Linked DNA regions of Lonchura striata. The protein of the gene in region 3 interacts with the protein of the main gene of each other region in a pairwise test. Links are inferred from orthologs where the notes say so. Each region holds a gene or a part of one and is shown on either strand. Other genes may lie near its edges.

Region 1 (7,323 bases), on a different chromosome or scaffold from region 3:
AGTCAAAGTGCTTTTGCTTCTGCTGTTCCTATAAAGCTACACCCACTACTACCTCTCATTACTCACTGTCTTCTTCAATAGTCCATCACCTCATGTGGTCAGCCTTCTGCCAAAGGCTATATCCCAAATAGGAACTGGCAGCCACCTTCCCAAGGCACAGCATAACAGCACCATAGGCCTCACAGTTCCTTTAACAAAAGGAAATCTTGAAAACAGAAAAGAAAGCCTTACAAATGCTCTAAAAAGGAGATATGATCAAATGAAATGCAATTAAAAAAAAAAAAAGGAAAATTTGGCAATTTAGTGACAATAAGGAAATGGACTAGTATGAAATGAGGTGCAGTGAAAAGGACAAAAACATGCCAAAAGTAACCTCACAGATGTTGCAATATCAGGGCAGAAAAACAGACATGAAGACAGAAGACTGAGGGGAAGATATGAATGAAATGGCATGGATAGTGAAAAAAATAAAAATCTTCACCAAAGGGAAAACCATCAAAAGGTATGGGAGGCCATGAAGTGCAACGATATGGACCAAAGCATGCCAAATTCATCCTCATTGAAATCACAAGATTTCATTCCTGAAAGGAAGAATTTTCTTTCAGGAAAGGAAATGAAATCTTGAAAACAGAAAACAAAGCCTTACAAACTCTGGAAAGAAATTAAATGCAATTGAAAATAAAAAGAAAATTTGGAAATTTAGTGGCTACAATCAAATGGACTGGGATGAAACAAGTTTTGCAGTGGAAAAAGACCAAAGCATGCCAAAACTAACCTCACAGATGCTGCGAAATCAGGGGAAAAAACTAAATATGATAATAGAACATAGAAGGGAAGATATTAATGAGATGACATGAATACTTGAAAAACAAAATTTAAAAATATTTGTCAAAATTAAAATCATCAAAAGGCATGGGATGCCATGAAGTGAAGGGATATGGACCAAAGCTTACCAAATTGATCCTCATTGAAATCACAAGATTTCATTTCCTTTTCTGAAAGCATCTCAAATTGCCTCCTGCGTACACATATTGTGCTTAGAGCTCTTCTCAGAAAGAAGAACTTGGCCCTTGCAGCCCTAAGGGGAATTGACAGGTTCCTTAAGTAATATAACTAAAGACTTAGGAGTTGCAAGAGTTAAATTTTAAGTCATAAGTCCTACACAGATTCACTGCATTAAGGTATTTGACATCAAACACTTCATTTAATCATGGTGAATAACATGCTCCACACATTCTACACAAGCTCCCAGAGACATTTTTTTAAATGCCCAAGGCTGTTAGTGCTACACTAGAGTTAGAGATTACCTTTCCACCCCTTCTTCTTAACCTCTGTACCACGCTTAGACTTTCTGTGGTCTGGTAAGAGCTAGAAATTATACCAGTTCCAGTTGTATTCAGATTTTCATTTCACCACAAACTACATACTCAGCAGCACAAAGTCCCATAATTTACTGCTTGCAGCTGCAGTAATACTAAACAAACATTTCAATTATTTGACTACTCCAGAGCAATACCTGAAGATTATTATACCAATAATGTGAATTTTGTTTTTAATTTATATGCAACTGATATACTGGAAGCTAATTTTCAGGGAAAACAAATAGAATAATTTCCTATTTAATAATATTTATTTCTCACTTTAAATATATCATATTTTTTAGATGGATCCCTAATAAAAGTTGATTTTATTTCATTATTTTTACTCAAGGTATCCATTAAAACAACATGGAAATTGTCAGTTGCAATGTTTACGCCTAAGCATATTAATGAGAAGAACTTTAGCACACATTAAAAATTCCATTGGTTGTAGGGACTTGAAGAAGAGGAACCAGCCCCTTCTTGCTTCAACAGAAAATTAAGACTGTCCAAAAAAGAACAGGTAACAAAATGAGGAGAAGAATAACTAAGAAAAGAAACAGGAAAAAGAGGAAGGAAAGCAAGCAAGTACCCAGAACAGTAACAAAAATTTTACCTGGCAACAGTGAGAGAATTGCAGAGATTAAATAGAGGTGAAACAGAAAAAAATAGGCCTTAATCTGTCCAGTTCATTGTGAACTCAAAACGTTTTCCCCTTTCCCTTTCAAGATATTTTATTTTCTCCAACTCTTAAGGTCTCCTGTGCTGTTCTTTAGTCTAAAAAACCCAAGTGTTTTCTGTCTTTCCACATAATTAATTATTGCTACTCTCTTCTGCAGTATTTCCAAGTAGTCTTTTTTTTCTTTTTTTTCCCAAAAGTGAGATTGCCAAAACCCCTGGGAACACAGCTTCTTTGGCTCTCCCCTAAAACAGGATAAGCTCCTCCCTTAGAAATAACTCACACCTATGACCTACTGAGTCTTGAAGAAAATGTGAAGGTGCGGCTCACTCTAAACACTAGATCCATTTTGCTCAGCATTACATGGACAAATATGTTATTCATTTCCTTGTTGGTAAGCCCTGCCTCCCACCTTGGGAGAGAGAAGGCAGGAAAGCACAGCCAAAGGACATTCTAAGGGATAAGGAGATTGAAACCTTTCTCCCATTTTCTCTAGACTCTCTCACAGTTTTTTTCTGAAAGCTTCATTAATTGATTACTGAAATAAAGTCTATTTTTAAGTGCTTTCACCACATTATATGCCAGGTTTGAATATTTCATAGAACAAAAGGTTTTGACTATTTATTTACACCCTATTGTTCTTAAAGATTTGGGCACATGCAGACTGAAATGTAATCCTGTAAACTCAATCTGTTTTCTGTTGTACTGAAGATTAACTGTATTGCATTTTAATCACAGCAAGAAAACAGACAAAATTAAGAGTCTGTAAAAAAGATGGGCTTAATATTCTTTTATTCTGTTTTAAAATATGTATCATCAGGAGATTGAATCCTACTCTGGGCACCATCTTCAGCACCTTTAACCAGCCAGACCAGATTCTTTATGGATAATTTTTCTTACTTCTATAGTGGAACTGCATTCCCCAGCCACCCTCAAAGGGCACTCAAGATACAGAGATAAAGTACGTACTTGGTACAATTACAATAAGTAAAATATCTACCACAGTCCCAACGAAAAAAAAAAGAGAAAGTAAAGGCATACCACTGTCAAGCCTGTTTTATGTGTTTCTTTGTGAAAATCTCCCAGCTGTTTCTAAGGACACCTTTACATATAACATGGGCTGACATGAAAAAGCTTATACTCAAATCAATACTGGTTTATCCAGAGAAAGCTTTAAATAATTAAAAGAGCTGCTAAGGTATTACAGCTACAAGAAAATGTATTTTTTTTATTCTTTCCTAAGTCTTTCTAAATTATAAGGAAAAAATCTCCATGCATGTTTTAATAAGTGCTCCCAAGTCTGTGACAGATACATTAAGGAAACCAAGAAAATTTGGAGTAATTTAATTCTGAGCTATTGTAACTGTACAACTACTGGAAAATATTACCCCTCTAAAATGGGCTCAATCAGGATAACAGTAGCCTATACCTTCCATTCAAGTTGCAGGAGAGGATACACAGAATGATTCTGCACCTCTATTTTTATGTTCCTCTATTTTATATTCCTTTTGTATGTGTGAAAAACCTTCATGTTTTATCAATGGTTTATTACAATAATAGTTATAAGCAGAAAAATATGGTACTAGCTATGAAAAATGAGATTACTGTCAGTTGGATAGTTAGGATTCTGTATAAGTCCTTGGATAGAGCAACAATACTGGATTTTTGATCAGCTCTTTGCAGGATTTTGCAAGTTCTAACTTGCATTAAAAGATCCTTATTTACAGAGTTCCACTAAGGCTACCTGATTATTTGGGTGATATATAAGGGCTATAAAGCATCTTTCTGTGCATGCCAGATACAAATATACAGATACTAGAGCAAGTGATGAGCTGTGCAATTTCAGCACAAGGATGAAAAAAAGGAACTAGACCAGATTCAATCTGAAAAGTAAATTATTAACACAAGCACTTTTGGTAGGTGAGTGTTTCATCCTGTGACTAGCTGAAGTCTGATTCCTAAAATCAACACAGCACAACAGAGGGTGTTGGGCTAGTGACTCTGTTTACTTACATTATAATCACACTTATTCAATGCATGGTTAATGACTAAGCACACAGTATATCTATAAAGCCCAAGGACACAAGGTACCAAGGTTTTGCTTCATTGTTACTTTGGAGCCTAATGTACTTGGTTTCAGTTTGATTGGATGGCTTCTCACAAATCCCCAAAACAGAACAAGGTTTTACTATAACTGTATTTACTTTTTTTAGTTAGGGAAGCTACTACTCCATCTCAACAGAACTTGAAGACTCATATCAAAATGTATTGTGGAGATTACGTAAGTATTTGTTCTCTGAAATCTTCCAAAATTGTCATTCCTCTTAAGTTGTCGTCATGTGTTGGTAGCCATTTCCCTTCACTGGTAGAAATTAATATAAGGTGAAGATAATTCATTTGTGATTTCAGTCTAACCTTGGTGTTACTTAGATATATCAAGTGTCTGAAACAAAGACTAAAATTTAAAGAATTATCAGTTCCTGTCTCATAATTCTAGACCTTTCAAGAAAAAGAAAAATCAACTTAAGCCCCCTTGTGAGATCCTATAGGTGTGTTTTCTATGTTGGCACTAAGTTGCTAAACAAGAAGCTAAATTACATACTATCACCGTATTAAAGATAAAAATATGAGTTTTTCAGAAGATAGCTATTTCTGGCACTACTCTGGGGGGGTTATAATTTGACAAGACCATCTCTAGCTGCATAAAGTAAATAGCTTCATCATTTATAAAAATTTGTTTTGTTCATAGTGTGAAAAATATTTTAAAGTTAAAAAATGCTATCTATACAAGAGCCACAACACAGGAAGAGTTATGGCTTCGCTAGTGCTTTTTGAGGAAAAAAAGGGTTATAATGAAATTTTAAATCTTCATTCTAGAAACTGTTGGAGTTACTATTTCATGACAACAAAATATGACATTTCTCTTGGTACCTGGCATACTGATCATGTTCTCTAAGGATTCTTTCAATTATTACTGATATGAATAATGATTTGATCCTTTCAAAGGCTTTTTACATGTACATTCCCAAACTTACAAACCAATATGGATTTTTCTAAAAATTAAATATTTTTCCCTTTCTTATTTTAATATAATGTATAATTGACTCATTATTTCAATCTTTGCAGTAAAGTATTTCTTCTAATAAAATTATATATATAAAGCATATAGTTGCTTTTCTAAAGTTATTGCTATTGAATCAGGATTAGTAATATGTTTGGTTTTCCACAAATTAGGATCTTGCATCCCTTACTAGACAGTTAAGAACTTAAGAGATTTTCTTCCTAGTTTCTTTTTTCCCCCCTCTTTTTGTTACAGTGATTTTGGAATCTATTCCTGATAATTTTAGGACAACATAAAGAATATTATACCTTAAAAAGGTAGTAGATCAGTTTCTGTTGGAGAAGACAAGAAATACAGTTTCTTTTATTCTACTGTTTTATTGCAACCAATTATATTTAAATAATTGACACCGCATCTGCATATAATATGTTGCCTAAAATTAATGGTAGTCCCTTATAAAATAACTTACAGAGGAAGTGATTTTAAAGTCATTACAATTGGCAATTATTATATTTGCAATAACAATGTAGCAGTTTGATAGCATTATAAAGACAAATTAATAGATAAGACAATTTCTAACTGTGGCAGATGTTTACAATGGTATGAGGCTTAATATAATGTAACTATTATATATTGGCCTAATGAACTGCTTGAGCAGAGCGGACAAGTTTCTAATTCTGATACACTGAATTACATCAAAATACTTCAGAATAAATGGTTTTAATATCAACTCTTTATACCCTCTTCTAAACATAAAAAGGCACACTGATAAACCCTTGTTTTTTTTCATCATCACAGACACAAGAGATCAGAGAAGCAACTGTAGACAGTGGGGAGTATATCAGACCCAGGAAAGACAGGAAAATCTGATTACAGGCTTTCTCTGAAATGCATTGGGGTGGATTCCCAGGTTAGGTAAATTTTTACTGTTTAATCCAATTTCCATGTGTTATGAAATGGAAAGGGAGAGAAATTATGAATTAAATCACTGGATCCTAGGAACATACTTCCCTACTGAGGCATCCAGACAGAATGGGGACATGTAAGGCAGAGCTGCATGCAAACATTCTCCACTGAATGCTGATGGTATTTCAAGAGCAAGTTGGTCATGGAGCAGTGGCAGATTTCTTTGAAGAGACTCAGCAACAAAATAGCAGAAAAATCACTTCAGCAAGTCTCAGTCAAGAAAACAGGACTTATACAAGACTAAGTGGTGGGACCATAGCATTAATTTCTTCTCTACTCTTCTTAAACACTGTTCTAGATTGCAAAAAAGTCCTGGAAGTACACTTTGGACTTAGATATTTTTCAAAGAATTTCAGAACATTGAGTATACCATTAATTCAGAAGCACAATAGAAAAATCTGAAGTATTACTTTCAAAATGTGCTTTGTTCTTTAAAATTATCTTTATATTTTATGCTACCCATATCAGAAATTGCATACATTTTCTGTGAACAATCAGATAGGATGGAGTCCTTCAAGAGCAAGAAGTAGATGTACAAACTGTTGACAGCAGCAGTCCTGCTGCTGCAGACAGCAGCAGCAAACCAGCTAACAAACCAGCATCATCAAAAAACACCCTATAGTAAATACCACAGGTAAAACTATAAGAAATTAGATTATATCTATGACCTTTCTGAAATACATAAACAGAGAGAGACAGAAGGCTTTGGAGAATGAATTTTCTATGTTTAGAAGTATCCCTTCCACTACTGTATCACATATTATTGAAAATAAATGAAACACACAAGAAACTCACAACAAACCGAAATACTCATGAAATTTTTATTTAATAATGTTGCACTCAAATGATATCTTTGCAAAAGTATAGCTAGCTCATAGCATGTGGTTAGCTAATAAAAAAAAACATTTTATTTTAGTAGACATTCCCTATGGGAAATATTCAGACTAAGGAGTCTGACTTCAATTGTTTGTTATCAGCAGAATGACTTGCTGAACAAATATTAGAAGGTTGTTTGTACTTCAGAATGCTTTTCCATCACAAGACTGAATTGCCTGAAGTTTGCACATCATAATTTAATAAAAGCAGCCTCACCTTTTACTGATACTTTTGTTGAACTCCTTATGACTTTGGTCAGAAAAAGCTGTTACTTTCTTGCTTTTACACAGAAGGTAAATTCCAAGTATCATTTTTCAGAACCATTATAAATTTCAGACCCTTTCCAGTCTTTAGTTGTTTTGATTCATTCCACCAACACCACA
Region 2 (6,963 bases), on a different chromosome or scaffold from region 3:
CACATTTCAGTATTGCAACAGCTGGGAAACTCAGAAACTATGCAAAATAGTTCTGTGTTAGATCTGTTTTATACAGAGCATGGAAACAGGAAAAAATCCCCTACCTAAAGCTGGGTAAATCACTAGTCCCATAACAATCTTCCTAAAGCTTGTCACTTCCATGTGATGATCCTGCCAAACCTGCAGTCCCTTTACACACCATTCCATCCCACCAAATTTAATTGTTTGGATTAACACTGCTGCCCTTCTACTGTTAATATGTAGCAATTTGGAAAACTTTCCTCTGAAAGAGGAAGAAGATTTTGCACAACTGAAAGCAAGGATTTGTCACCATGAATATGCAGTAAGGTACCTGTGGCTGCAGCATTAGTGCAGAGAGAGCACAGTGCAAGCTGGAGCTCCTAGAAAAGGCTGCTGATCCACATGGTCCTCCAAAGGGCAGAATAACTGCCAGGGAAGGTAACTATAGAACCTGAGCAGTTTATACCATATTTATACAAATGAGGAAAATGCTCAAGTAATGCCACCTGTGAAATAAAAAGGTTTTTCAAATAAAATGTCAGCACTTCAAAAATTCTAGCATCCCCTTCCCCTTGGGTTTTTTTTTAAGCAATAAAATGCAAAATAAAAGTTCATTAAGTTATTAAGGAAGTTATGACCAGGACCTTTTGTCCTATCTAGAACTAAGCCCAAATAAACAGTTTGTAGAATTACAGCCATTATCCTGAAATTTAGGGTTTAGATAACAATGCAATTATCAATCAATAGCCCAGAAATTGCCTCCCATTACAAAACAAGGAAAACATCTGCAAACAAACCAACAGAAGTGTGTCATTTGCAAAACAGTTCATGAAACCAGGAATTTCTGGCAATTGTTTTGAATAGAAAACTGTAAAGAAAAAATACAAGCTCTGTGAGTCACTCAGATTTGCAAGACTCCCTGGACCCTAATTCAGCCAGGAGTAATAACAGGAAATGCACTGACTGGGAGCACTGGCTGCACTTCTCCCTCATCTGAACAGCAGCAATAATCTTTTGCTGAGGATATTCAGCCAACAAGGGAAAAAGAAAAGGACTGAAGAACTTTTCTGTAGGAAGTTTAAAGGAGTAACTGCAGCCCAAATAAGCTTTGGGAACACATGAGTAATCTACTGTGCAAAAAGAGGGGCCAGAAAAAGAGTTTGTATAACAGAACTGCCAACAGCAGAGCAACAGAGACTCAGCCATGGTGTCAAAAGCAAACAAAAAAGAGGGTCTTTATTACTTCATCTGCCTTAATATTAACACAGATTAAGTAGGGTAATAAATTAATATATCCTCTTCTAAAAAACCTCAGCAGTATAAGTGAACTATAAAACACAATGCTCCCTTCACTTGTTGAAACACAAATGGAATCTGTCCCACTCACAGAGAAAACATGAAAAGAACACTGTGACAGCACATTTCTCCCTCTCTCAGGATTTTTCATAGACGTGCACAGAGAGAAATGAAAGAGAAAACAATTTCTATTTCTGCTCCTTGTTTTTCCCATGTGGAATGTGTTTGGAGAATTGTTCACCTGGAATGAATGCTTGGTTGGATTCTGGTGAGGATTGTTTGAGCCTGATGGCCAATCCAACCCACCTGGGGCTGGACTTGAGAGAGAGGGTCACGAACTGAGTTAGAGAAAGTAGTATGTAGTTTTAGTATCTTCATTTATATAGTATATTAATGTATTTTAGCATAGTTATAGTAAAGAAATCATTCAGCCTTCTGAATTGAGTCAGACATCATCATTTCTTCCCATTGGGTTTGCCTGCATTTACAACCGTGTGGGCACCGTGTGCATCATCCCGCTTGTGCCTGGCTCCGTGCAAGGATCAGGAGCAGGGAGTGAGAGAGGAACATTTCCCCAGCACAGCTCTGGGGAGGCTTGAGGAGATTTGCACCACACAGCACTCCCAGCACACGCCTGAGTAGCTACAACTCCCCAGTGTACCCCCAGACTCTGCCTGTACACACACTTTGCTGTGCTGCAAGGTTGAGGAGGCAGAGGACAGGCCATGCATCACTTCCAATCCAAAATATTTTATTCCAACGCAGCAACGGTGAAGACAGGGAGAATAAATTCACTGAAATGCAGCACTGGAATGAGCAGATGAAGGAGGAAAACAATCCAGAAGCAGAAACCACTGCTTCCCTTCCTTGCTGCTCCTTGTGATTCACTTTTAATGCAAGATGAAGCCAAGGAGTTTTTCACAACTGAGATCTCAAACAGCACAAAATTTCCTTTGCCAATAAGTTTTTAAATTTGAAAGATAGCTTTTCTTTACAGTAATCTTGCAGAAGGGGGCAGATTGATGCAGACGTTTAAGATACCATTTGGAACCAGTTTTTTAAAAAAGTTTTTGTCATTTTCCTTCTATTTGAGTTCTTAGAATGTGGTTGCTGTATAAAATAGATTTCAAAGTTTAATTTCTTCTTAGCATCTTTCTCTAATATAAACTGTTAGTGAATAATGAGAAATTTTACATCAAAGTATTGCCTTTAAGAGCAAACACTACAGAACTAGGGAAAACCCAAATTTTATGGATTAGGCTCTTCTATGGTGAAACCATTAGAAAGACATGGACAATTTATGGAGCTCCAAGACATTCCATATGACTTTTGTTGAGTTTTTTACTGATGTTTATGCCCTGGGGTTCAAGGGTGAGTTAGTGGGATGAAGTTTTCTGTCTAGATTACTTTTTCCCTAATAAATGCATTTTCACTTTACACTGTAACTGTTTGACACCAAAATAGGCACATTATTGTTTTGTCCCAAAAGCTTTACAGTTTAAAAAAATTACACTAGAACTTGGTATTTCCACTTCTTATCAGATAGACTTTTGTGGAACCACACAACTGCTGGATCCTTGTTTATGGTTAATGCAATGCAATAAATGTCAGCCATCATAGGAGAGGACTATCCTGTAAAGCTCTATTAAAAGTTTGTATCAGAAGTTTGTCCACCTGCAACAAAAAAACTTGACTTGTGGTAATACAGAGCATAGCACATATTCTTGAAATACTCAGGGTCAGGAGCCTGCCACAGACAAGATTTTGTTTAGAAATATACAAACCTGTTTATTCCATGTCAGATTGCAAAAAATGCTACAAAGGTACTTGAACCTAAGTGATCTTATCTTGGACATAATTTATGCCTTGGTCCTGATGAATATACTACACTTTCCTGTTCCTAAAATCACCAGTAATTGAAAAAGCTGCAGGAAAAAAATCTCAGTACACTGCATATTACTTTGTTCTTGTTTCAGCAAATGTAGATATGTACTACACAGCACTCCACTTTACATAGGGCAGTTTAGCGCCCTATGCACCTTCACTTTACCTGAGAAACGTATGTGTGGATGTTTACTACACCTGACAGAAATACTTAATCCCCAAATTCTTCTAAAATATTGAGAATTCCATATCCCACTGCAGACCGTGAAATACTGATATACCAGAAAATGACGGACACGGGAGCAAAGAGCATCCACCCTCCTGAGCCTGTGAGCCAGCTCATCGCGCTTCACAGGGCAGCCTGCAGTAAGCTCCGGAGCCTGCGGATCACTAATGGGGTAAATAAATAAAAACAAGATGCGAGGGCCAGCCCGCAGCCCTGCCCAAGGCCCACGGCCCTGCGAGCGCTCAGTGCCCGGCGCTGCGAGCGGGGAGCGGCGCCCGGGAACGGGCCGCGGGCCCGAGGTGAGAACAGGGCCCGGGCAGGGGCCGCGGTCCCGCGGTGAGGAGAGGAGCCCGGGAAGGGGCCGGGAAGGGGCCGCGGGCCCGAGGTGAGAACAGGCCCCGGGAAGGGCCCGGCGGGGCGGGGCGTGGGCCCAGGCCGGCGGGCGGAACCTCAGGCGCGGGCCGCGCGCTCCGGCCGGCGGCGGGGCCGGGCACGCCGCTGCACCGGCGCGGCTGTCGCCGTTCCGCGGGCGGGGCTGCCCGGATCCAAGATGGAGGCGGCGGGCAGAGCGGGGCAGGAGATGAGCCTGGCGGCCCTGCGGCGGCACGACCCCTTCATCACCGGCATCGCCGACGTGACCGGCCAGGTCGCGCTCTACAGCTTCAGCCCCAAGGACAACGAGTGGGTGAGTCCGGCGGGGCGGGCCCGGCCGTGCCCGCGCCCCGGCAGCCGCCGGGCCCGGCGCGCCCGCGCGGGGCCGAACCCAGGGGAGTTCGGGGTTTGGGCGCGTTCCCCCCTCCTGTAATGGGGGAGAGGAGCGAGAGGGAGACGGAGAGAGCAGGCGAGAGGGAGAGGAAGAGGAGGAGAAGGAGGAAGAGGGAGAGGCGAGGCCGTGCGTGCGCTCGGGGAGGCGGCGCCGCTCCCCCTCGGGCCGGGGCAGCGCCGGGGCTGGAGCGCGCCTTGGCTGCTGCTGGCCATTGACTTTTCTCGTTTTTAAAGGTACTTTGTTGTTGTTGCTCGCGCCTGTTGCACAGAGCCCTAATTCGGGAAGAGAGGAATTTAAGATTGCATTAAAGCACAGTTTTGGCTTGACCGCCGGGTTCATCGCAGAGCCATAAAAATGGGAATATGGGGAACTGCCCGTGCAGCCCTGGAGCTGGAGCAGCTTTCCTCGACACGCCCGTGCTGAGGGTTGCTCTGGGAGCTGGAGTCTGCCACAGAGCCATGCCCACGGTGCTACCGTGCTGTGCTGTTGTGGCTGTCCTTGGAGTAGAACTGGAACACAACCTCTCGGATATTTGGAGTCTGCTCAGCAGGGGAAGGTTGTGGAACAATGTGTGTGTATCACGTCGGCAAATAGAGAGAGTGAGCAAAGTGTTTTGGAAGTAGGTTTAACGTCCTAATTCTTCTAATTAAAAAATTTGGAAAGTTATGAAAATAAGGGAGCATAATTTTTGTCCTGTGATGTCAAACCTTATGGAAAGATATGGATATTGTAAGTCTGTAATTAAAACACTGTACAAAACCTACCTGTGTGAACAAGCACATCCCTGAAGTGCTTTTGTTATCTTTTGTAGGAAAAAACTGACATAGAAGGGACCTTATTTGTGTATAAAAGGTAAGGTTACTTTGGGTTGGTTTTTTGGGGGAGGGGGTATAGAGTAGTGGCGATATTTGTTTTCTTTCCTTAAGAAAACAAGCTCCAGATGGCTTCCTACAGAGCTTTCATACTCATCATTTTTTGCTTGTCCAGCTGTTAACTGCTGTGTAGTCATTCAAGAAGAATAAATTCTGCACATGGGTGAATAACTCTGTTAAAAGCCCCTAAAAGTATTGCTAAGAAAGTGTAAAACTTGAATGCTACATATGTACCCACATCAAAAACTAGTTTATTGAGCTTATTTTATTAATCCAATAGCATTTGTTAGTGCATTGAGTTTGTTTAATGCCAAGTCTCCCTCTGTCTCCTAACATCCATGAAGCTGATTATGAAAACGATAGACATGAGAAATTAAATAATGTGTTTTAAATTACTAATGGAATATATAATAAATTTTTGTAAATGGATGGAGTTGCCCAAAAGCTGGAGATCTTGTAATGTCTGGTTTTGGGAGTTGTCTGATTTCCTCTCAAAATCATGGAAGAAATTTCCAGCTCTCTAGGACAGGTAAAAGGACTGAGGAGAACCAACACATAATATCAATCATAAGTTCAAGTCTTAAATTATAGGCAAATTAAAAAATCTAAATTAAATAACACTTTGTTGAAGGTAAGAAATAGAAATAATGCAGACTTAAGCCATCCTGAGGCAGACTGTCATAGTTTGGTTGTTACAATATTTTATCTCAGTACTGTGTAGGGATTTGAGTCACAGTTCCTTTACTTCAGCTCCCAGCTTGGAAATACGCAGTGTAAGAAAGTATTAACCAAACTTAAAAAAAAATAAAATCAAAAACCAAAGCAAAAGCTTTGTGTCACTAGCTGATGATTTCAAACAAGTTCTGCGAGGTGCATTAAGGGACTCACTTGTGATGGTAATGGTTGTTTACCCTGTCCTTGGAAACTCTTGAGAGATTTTTGGTGTCAATCATTAGGTAAAGGTGGCCACGCTGTTACAGAAATCTTTACATTTACCAGCTTATTGTGTCTGATTTTTAGCCTACCTTCGTTGTTGTTGATTATACAACATTTTACAGGCACAGTTCAGTGCTGACAGGACATTCATGCAGCAAGAAAAAACAGATCTAAAACTATCTTGAACTTTCAATGCTTGCTCAGTGTTTTCTTTTTTTACTTGGTGTTCAGAAAAAATCTAGATAAATAAAAATTGTTTCACTGAGCAATACAATTCTGAATAATTTACTTTCAGGATACTGGCTTAAGTCTTTATTTGCAGAGTCTCCCTTTAGGAATAAATTACTGTTTATGGTTCCCCCTGTAAGTGTACTTCATGCTATTTAAAAGATAGCAGTTCTTTTTTTTATTGTCATGTCTATTTACAATAAGGTAATGATGCTGTGTAAATGGTTTGGTTTTTGTCCTCTAATTAAAAAATTCTGAAATGCCTCAAAACAATCTTATATCAAGTATTGAATAAATTTGCATTTTAATAGTGGACCTGCCCTAGTTTTTTTTAATAGATTTTTCCGAGGCATATCTTTGATTCAGCAGTGTAACAGTGTAGAATTGTAATGTTAATCCTAATCCTGCTTTGAGGTAAATGCAGTTTAGTTTGAAATTGAAATTAGGTGGTGTGCCAAGAAATGGCATAGAAAAACAACTGTGAGAGCTGCAGGACTGCTAAAACTTCATGTAAGAAAGCAATGGAAATGTGAAGATAAATTCATAACTTGGTATCAGAAAATTATTTTCGTTAATGAAGATATTAATCCTTGGTTTTGTTTTCCTTGACACAATAGGTCAGCTTCTCCTTACCATGGTTTTACAATAGTGAATCGACTGAATATGCACAACCTGGTTGAGCCAGTAAATAAAGATTTGGAGTTTCAGCTCCATGAACCTTTTCTTCTCTATAG
Region 3 (7,080 bases):
TCGAGGGGACCCACCCTGGGTGCACCCACACAGCCAAATTCCTTGAATGTGAACTCATGGAGTGAATTCCTGAGTGTTCCTACTGATTGAAAAAACAAAAATCCACCAGCGGAGCCACTCACAAATTGAGATTTTAAATCAATCCTAACATGGAGCCTCCTGGAAAATCTCAAAGGACCGGGAAAGGGACAAAAAGGAACTGTAGGACACTGCTGGCTTTCAGACTAACCCTGCATTTGCTGCCTTTTTTAATATCAGGGTTTTTTTCTTTATCAAGCAATAGATTTCTGTATGCAGGCTAAGGAGCAAGGCTTTCAGGAGTGCAGGAGGTGCCTTTGCCACGCTCAGCTTTAGCCAGCGGGAAGGTGAAGCCTCATGGCAAACGCAGCAGCAATTCCTGCCTGTTTGTGCCCGCTTGGAATGCAGCTGGGATGGAAACCACACCACGTTTCTAACCCAATAAATACTCACATGAACATCTCTTGAGTCGCTTTCTGAATTTTATTCCACTGGAAAATAAATTTTTTTTTTTGCGGGGGGGAACACCCTATGCTGCTCTGTCATCCTTAAAAATCTGAGTTGGTGTATTGTAAACGCAGGCGAGCCCAATGGGGAGAAATGAGGATGTCTGACTCAATTCAGAAGGCTGAATTATTTTATTATAACTATGCTAAAATACATTAATATACTCTATTAAAGGAGGATACTAAAACTACAAACTACTTTCTCTGACTCTCACTCAACTTGTGACCCACTCTGAGAGTCCAGCTCCAGGTGGGTTGGATTGAGTTGGATTGGGTTGGGTTGTGTTGGATTGGATTGGGTTGGATTGGGTTGAGTTGGATTGGATTGGCCATCAGGCTCAAACAATCCTCACCAGAATCCAACCAAGCATCACCCCAGGTAAACAATTCTCCAACCACATTCCACATGGGAAAAACAAGGAGCAGAAACAGAAATTGTTTTCTCTTTCATTTCTCTCTGTGCTCCTCTATGAAAATCCAGAGAGGGAGAGAAACGTGCTGCCACAGGGGTGTGGGCTGTGACTCCAGGGGCACTGGGCAGTATTTTCATCCCAAAGGGAGCTGATTCTGGAAGGTGATGCCCTGGATCAGTTCAGGGCTTCACTAAAAATTGGGAATAGCTTTCTGTCCCTGAAAACCTGGAATCAGTAGGTCAGAGCCAGCCACGGGGGATGTTTTGTTCCCATTGCCGGGCATCATGAAATCCCAAGTTTTCCACGATTTCCCGTAAAAAAACAAACAAAAAAAAGCAAAAAAGGTGAATTTCCCTCGGGAAAGTTGGGGTCTGTTGATCCCCCAGGGATCAGCCCCAGCGCAGCTTGGAGCTGCTGGTGGTTTGGGTGTGGAACAGAGCAGCCTTGGCAGGGAGGGAGGGGATGGAAGGGATGAAAAGGGGACAGAGGTGGTGGAGGTATGAGGAGATGGGATGGATGGAGATGATGGAGGGGATGGAGAAGATTGAGGGATGGTGTGATGGAAATATGGAGGGGATGGAGATGATGGAAGGGCTGGAAATGATAAAAGGGATGGTGTGAAGGAGGGATGGAGATGATGGAGGGATGGTGTGATGGACATATGGAGGGGATGCAGATGATGGAAAGTATGGGGATGATGATGATAGAGGGGATGGTGTGATGGAGATGATGGAGGGATGGAGATGATGGAGATGATAGAGGGGATGGTGTGATGGAGATGATGGAAGGGCAGGAAATGGAGGGATGGTGTGATGGAGATTATGGAGGCATAGAGATGATGGAAGAGATGCTGTGATGGAGACGATGGAAGGGATGGAGATGATGAAGATGATGAAGATGATGGGGGGATGGTGATATGGAGATGATGGAACAGCTGGAAATGATGGAAGGAGGGATGGAGATGATGGAAAGGATAGAGATGATGAAGGGATGGTGTGATGGGGATGATGGAGGGATGGTGTGATGGAGGGATGGAGATGATGGAAGGTATGGAGATGATGTAGATGATGGGGTGATGGTGTGATGGAGATGCTAGAAGGGCTGGAAATGGAGGGATGGAGATGATGGAAGAGATGCTGTGATAGAGGGGTGGAGATGATGGAAGAGATGGTGTGATGGAGGGATGGAGGGATGGAGATAATGAAGAAGATGGAAGGGCCAGAAATGGAGGAATGGTGTAATGGAGGGATGGAGGTGATGGAAGGGATGGCGACTATGGAAGGGATGGAGATGACGAAGATCATGGGCGGATGGTGATATGGAGATGATGGAACGGTGGGAGATGATGGGGGGATGAAGATGATGAAGATGATAAAGGGATGGAGATGATGAAGATGATGGAAGGATGGAGATGATGGAGGGATGGAGATGATGAAGATGATGAAGGGATGGAGATGATGAAGACGATGGAGGGATGAAGATGATGGAGACGATGGAGGGATGGATATGATGGAGACGATGGAGGGATGGAGATGATGCAGATGATGGGGGGGTGGAGATGATGAAGATGATGGAGGGATGGAGATGATAAAGATGATGGGGGGATGGAGATGATGAAGATGATGGGGGGATGGTGTGATGGAGATGATGGAGGGATGGAGATGATGGAAGGGATGGAGATTAAGATGATGGGGGGATGGAGATGATGAAGATGGAGGGATGAAGATGATGAAGATGGAGGGATGGACATGATGAAGATGATGAAGGGATGGAGATGATGAAGATGGAGGGATGGAGATGATGAAGATGATGAAGGGATGGAGATGATGATGATGAAGGGATGGAGATGATGGAGATGATGAAGGGATGGAGATGATGAAGATGATGGGGGGATGAAGATGATGAAGATGGAGGGATGAAGATGATGAAGATGGAGGGATGGAGATGATGAAGATGATGGGGGGATGGAGATGATGAAGATGATGGGGGGATGGTGTGATGGAGATGATGGAGGGATGGAGATGATGGAAGGGATGGAGATGATGAAGATGATGGGGGGATGGAGATGATGAAGATGATGGGGGGATGGAGATGATGAAGATGGAGGGATGAAGATGATGAAGATGGAGGGATGGAGATGATGAAGATGATGGGGGGATGGAGATGATGAAGATGATGGGGGGATGGTGTGATGGAGATGATGGAGGGATGGAGATGATGGAAGGGATGGAGATGATGAAGATGATGGGGGGATGGAGATGATGAAGATGATGGGGGGATGGAGATGATGAAGATGGAGGGATGAAGATGATGAAGATGGAGGGATGGAGATGATGAAGATGATGGGGGATGATGCGATGGAGATGTTGGAAAGGCTGGAAATGCTGGAAGGGATGGTGGGAAGGAGGGGATTGAGGGACACAGGTGACAGGTGTGTCACACGGGAGTGACACAGGTATGACACAGGTGTGTGACAGGTGTGTGACACGTGCGTGACCCACGAGTGTGACAAAGGTGCCTGACACAGCTGTGACACTGGGAGGTGACCCAGGGGTGACACCGGTGTCTGATAGGTGTGACAGCAGGGTGTGACACAGGGGTGTGACACACTGGTGACAGAGGAGTGTGACACGGAGGTGACACACCTGAGACACAGGTGTCACATGGGTGTCACACGAGTGTCACACACAGGTGTCACACACAGATGTCACTCGGGTGTCACACTCAGGTGTCACACACAGGTGTCACTCAGGTGTCACACACGTATCACACAGGTGTCACTCAGGTATCACACAGGTGTCACACAGGTGTCACACAGGCGTCACACACAGGTGTCACACACAGGTGTCACACAGGTGTCACACACAGGTTTCACTCAGGTGTCACACACAGGTGTCACACACAGGTGTCACACAGGTGTCACTCAGGTGTCACACACAGGTGTCACACACAGGTTTCACTCAGGTGTCACACAGGTGTCACACGTTGTCACACAGGTGTCACGCAGGTGTCACACACGTGTCGCAGCCCCTGCGCGGTCTCTCACTGCGCATGCGCACACCTCGCAGTCTCTATGGTGTTTCCGGTGCCGGAGCGCCGCGCGCGGGGCGTGGCCGGAAGTGACGTCAGGCGCAGCCGCTGAGGGGAGCGGTCGGGGCAGCGGCAGCGGCGGCGGCTGCGGGGCCGTGCGGGTGAGTTTGGGCCCGGCTCCGGGATTGCGGCTTCCCGCGTGCTCCCCGCGGTACCCGCCCGCCGCGGGGCCTGCCCGGCGTCGCGGCTCTCCTCCGCACGCCCTGCCCGCCCTTCGCCCGCGGTGGGCCCGGGGCAGGCCCGGCCGGGAGCTGTGCTCGGCTCTGGTCCCGCAGGGGTTAATCACGGCTGAAGCGCCGCGCTCCGCTGTGGGGTGCTGTGGGTGTTTTTGGGGGGACCTGGTCAGCTCGGGGGGGCTCTGTGTGTGCCCATGGAGGTGCCCTGTGTTTGTCTCTGGGGACGTCTGTTTGCTTTTGGGGGGTCTTCTGTTTTGGGGTGTGCTGTGGGTACATGGCGGGCCCTGTGTTCATTCCGTGGGGGTTCTCTGTGTTTATTTTTGGGGGTCCTGGTGTTTATCTATGGGGGTTCCTTGTGTTTATCCGTTGGGCGTTCCCTTTCTTTATTTTGGGGGTTCCCTATGTTTATCCATTGGGGGTTCCCTATGTTTATCCATTGGGGGTTCCCTGTGTTTATCCATTGGGGGTCCCTGTGTTTATTTTTGGGGTTCCCTGTGTTTATCCATTGGAGGTTCCCTGTGTTTATCCATTGGGGGTCCCTGTGTTTATCCATTGGAGGTCCCTGTGTTTATCCATTGGGGGTTCCCTGTGTTTATCCATTGGAGGTTCCCTGTGTTTATCCATTGGGGGTTCCCTGTATTTATCCATTGGGGGTTCCCTGGGTTTATCCATTGGGGGTCCCTGTGTTTATTTTGGGGGTTCCCTGTGTTTATTTGTGGGGTTCCCTGTGTTTATCCATGGGAGGGTTCCCTGTGTTTATCCAGTGGGGGTTCCCTGTGTTTATCCATGGGAGGGTTCCCTGTGTTTATCCATTGGGTGTCCCTGTGTTTATCCATTGGGGGTTCCCTGTGTTTATCCATTGGAGGTCCCTTTGTTTATTTTTGGGGGTTTCTTTGTTTATCCTTGGGGGGTTTCCCTGTATTTATTTTTGGGGGTTCTCTGTTTATCCATCACAGGCTTCCCTGTGTTTATTTTTGGGGGGGGTCCATGTGTTTATCCTTGGTGGGGGGGGTGTCTGTTTCTTTTTGGCAGTTCCCTTTGTTTATTTTTGGGGCATTCCCTATGTTTATCCATGGGAGGGGTCTCTGTTTATTTTTGTGGGTTCCCTGTGATTATCCATGGAAAGTGTCTGTGGTTATTTTTGGGGTTCCCTTTGTTTATCCATGGGGGGATTCCTTTGTTTCTCCCTGGGGAGGTTCCCTGTGTTTATTTTTGTGTGTGTGTGTGGGGGGGGTCCCCTGTGTTTGTTTTTGTGGTTCCCTGTGTTTATCCATGGGGGTGGGGTCTGTGTTTATCCATTGGGGGGATGTCTGTGTTTATTTTTTGGGGGTTTAATGTGTTTATCCATGGCAAGGGGTCTGTGTTTATTTTTGGGGGTTCCCTGTAACTATCCATGGATAGTGTCTGTGTTTATTTTTGGGAGAGTTCCCCGTGGTTATTTTTGGGGTTCCCTGTGTTTATCCATGGGGGGATTCCTTTCGTGGTTATTTTTGGGGTTCCCTGTGTTTATCCATGGGGGGATTCCTTTCTTTATCCCTGGGGGGGTTCCCTGTGTTTATTTTTGGGGGTTCCCTGTGTTTATTTTTGGGGGTTCCCTGTGTTTATTTTTGGGGGTTCCCTGTGTTTATCCACGCAGGGGATTCCCTGTGTTTATGCATGCTGGGGGTCCCTGTATTTATTTTTGGGGTTCTCTATGTTTATTTTTGGGGTTTCTCTGTGTTTATCCATGGCGTATCCCCATTTTCATTTTGGGGGTTCCCCTTTTTACCTTATGGGGCTGCTATTTTTGCCTATGGGGCTGGCTGAATTTACCTGTGGTAGCTCCACATGTTTTTAAATATTTACAATATTTATGTTATTTACAATATTTGGGATCCCTGTGTTTACCCATGGGGCTCCCTATATTTTCCTACAGCGACACAGCCACCCCTCTATTCCAACTCCAGGGTAGTTAAACTTATATTTGCACTCAAACATAGATTTACTTTTGGGTTTTCTGTGCTAAAAGGAGGCTCCTGTTTTTCAGAAGTGTCTGTGTAAGGTGCTGCTGTGTGCCGAGCTCCTTCCTGTGTTTCCTAAGGGAGATGAGAAGAAAGCAGGAAATGGAAGGAAGCTTTGGTTTCCCTGTGGTCCCCAAGGCTGTGTTATCTGTGTTTTGGGAGTGTTTTTATCAGCCACCTCCTTGGAATGCAGACATTGTCACCGTGGGTTAACATAAACACACAGCCACAGGAAGGACAGGAGCTGCTCCTCAGGAATTGATGGCTTTGTCACCAAATTTCACATTTTCTTCCCTTTGAAGCATCCCCTCTTTTCAGCCTCTGAAAGTTGGGGGAAGTGAGATTTTTTTTTTCCCCCCTAATCCAAGTTGTTTTTTTTTTTTCCCTTGTTTTTTTTTCAATGAGGCTCAGCTTGCAGAGAATCCAGCTGCCTCTTCCAGAAATGTGATTTATACATGGAAGTTGCTCTCCCTGGGCTGTCTGCCGTGTTTCTTTGTGCTGTTCACAGTAAATATCAAACATTCTCCCTCTTTGATTACAGCATGAAAGGCAAATCTCCACATTTAGGAGCTTGTCATGTCTCCTGTTCTCCGTGATGCTCGTGAGCCTGTCACTGGGAAATCTGGGATCAAAGGAGCTCTTTAGCTGCTTCCAGCACTGTTGGAAACATCTGTCTAAACAAATTGGAGTTTTTCTCCCCTGGTTTTGACAGAACTTCAGTGCAAGGAGAAAAACTATTTTAAAATTCATTTATCTAATCGTGGCACTGATGCTGCCTTTGCTGCTTTTATCCTGCATTCCAGTTTTTGGGGATTTTTTTCACCCTTTTGTGTTTCTCTGTTGGTTGGGGTTCCCCTCCTGCCCTGTATCTCTGTTC

Evidence for each region. The genes of interacting proteins can lie anywhere in the genome.
Region 1: the proteins of EDC3 (region 3) and ANXA10 interact in binary tests that used the Homo sapiens proteins (3 or more experiments, as listed by UniProt). The link is inferred for Lonchura striata from reciprocal best matches to the Homo sapiens genes EDC3 and ANXA10.
Region 2: the proteins of EDC3 (region 3) and DCP1A interact in binary tests that used the Homo sapiens proteins (3 or more experiments, as listed by UniProt). The two-hybrid records come from large-scale screens. The link is inferred for Lonchura striata from reciprocal best matches to the Homo sapiens genes EDC3 and DCP1A.

The regions. Positions count from the first base shown.
Region 1 is NC_134606.1:37,811,881-37,819,203, reverse strand, and holds the start of ANXA10 (annexin A10), read left to right. Parts: upstream 1-4,300; coding exon 4,301-4,318; intron 4,319-7,323.
Region 2 is NC_134614.1:10,596,350-10,603,312, reverse strand, and holds the start of DCP1A (mRNA-decapping enzyme 1A), read left to right. Parts: upstream 1-3,940; 5' UTR 3,941-3,977; coding exon 3,978-4,112; intron 4,113-5,004; coding exon 5,005-5,045; intron 5,046-6,846; coding exon 6,847-6,963. UniProt on the Homo sapiens protein: Necessary for the degradation of mRNAs, both in normal mRNA turnover and in nonsense-mediated mRNA decay. Removes the 7-methyl guanine cap structure from mRNA molecules, yielding a 5'-phosphorylated mRNA fragment and 7m-GDP.
Region 3 is NC_134613.1:5,971,859-5,978,938, forward strand, and holds the start of EDC3 (enhancer of mRNA-decapping protein 3), read left to right. Parts: upstream 1-4,055; 5' UTR 4,056-4,128; intron 4,129-7,080. UniProt on the Homo sapiens protein: Binds single-stranded RNA. Involved in the process of mRNA degradation and in the positive regulation of mRNA decapping. May play a role in spermiogenesis and oogenesis.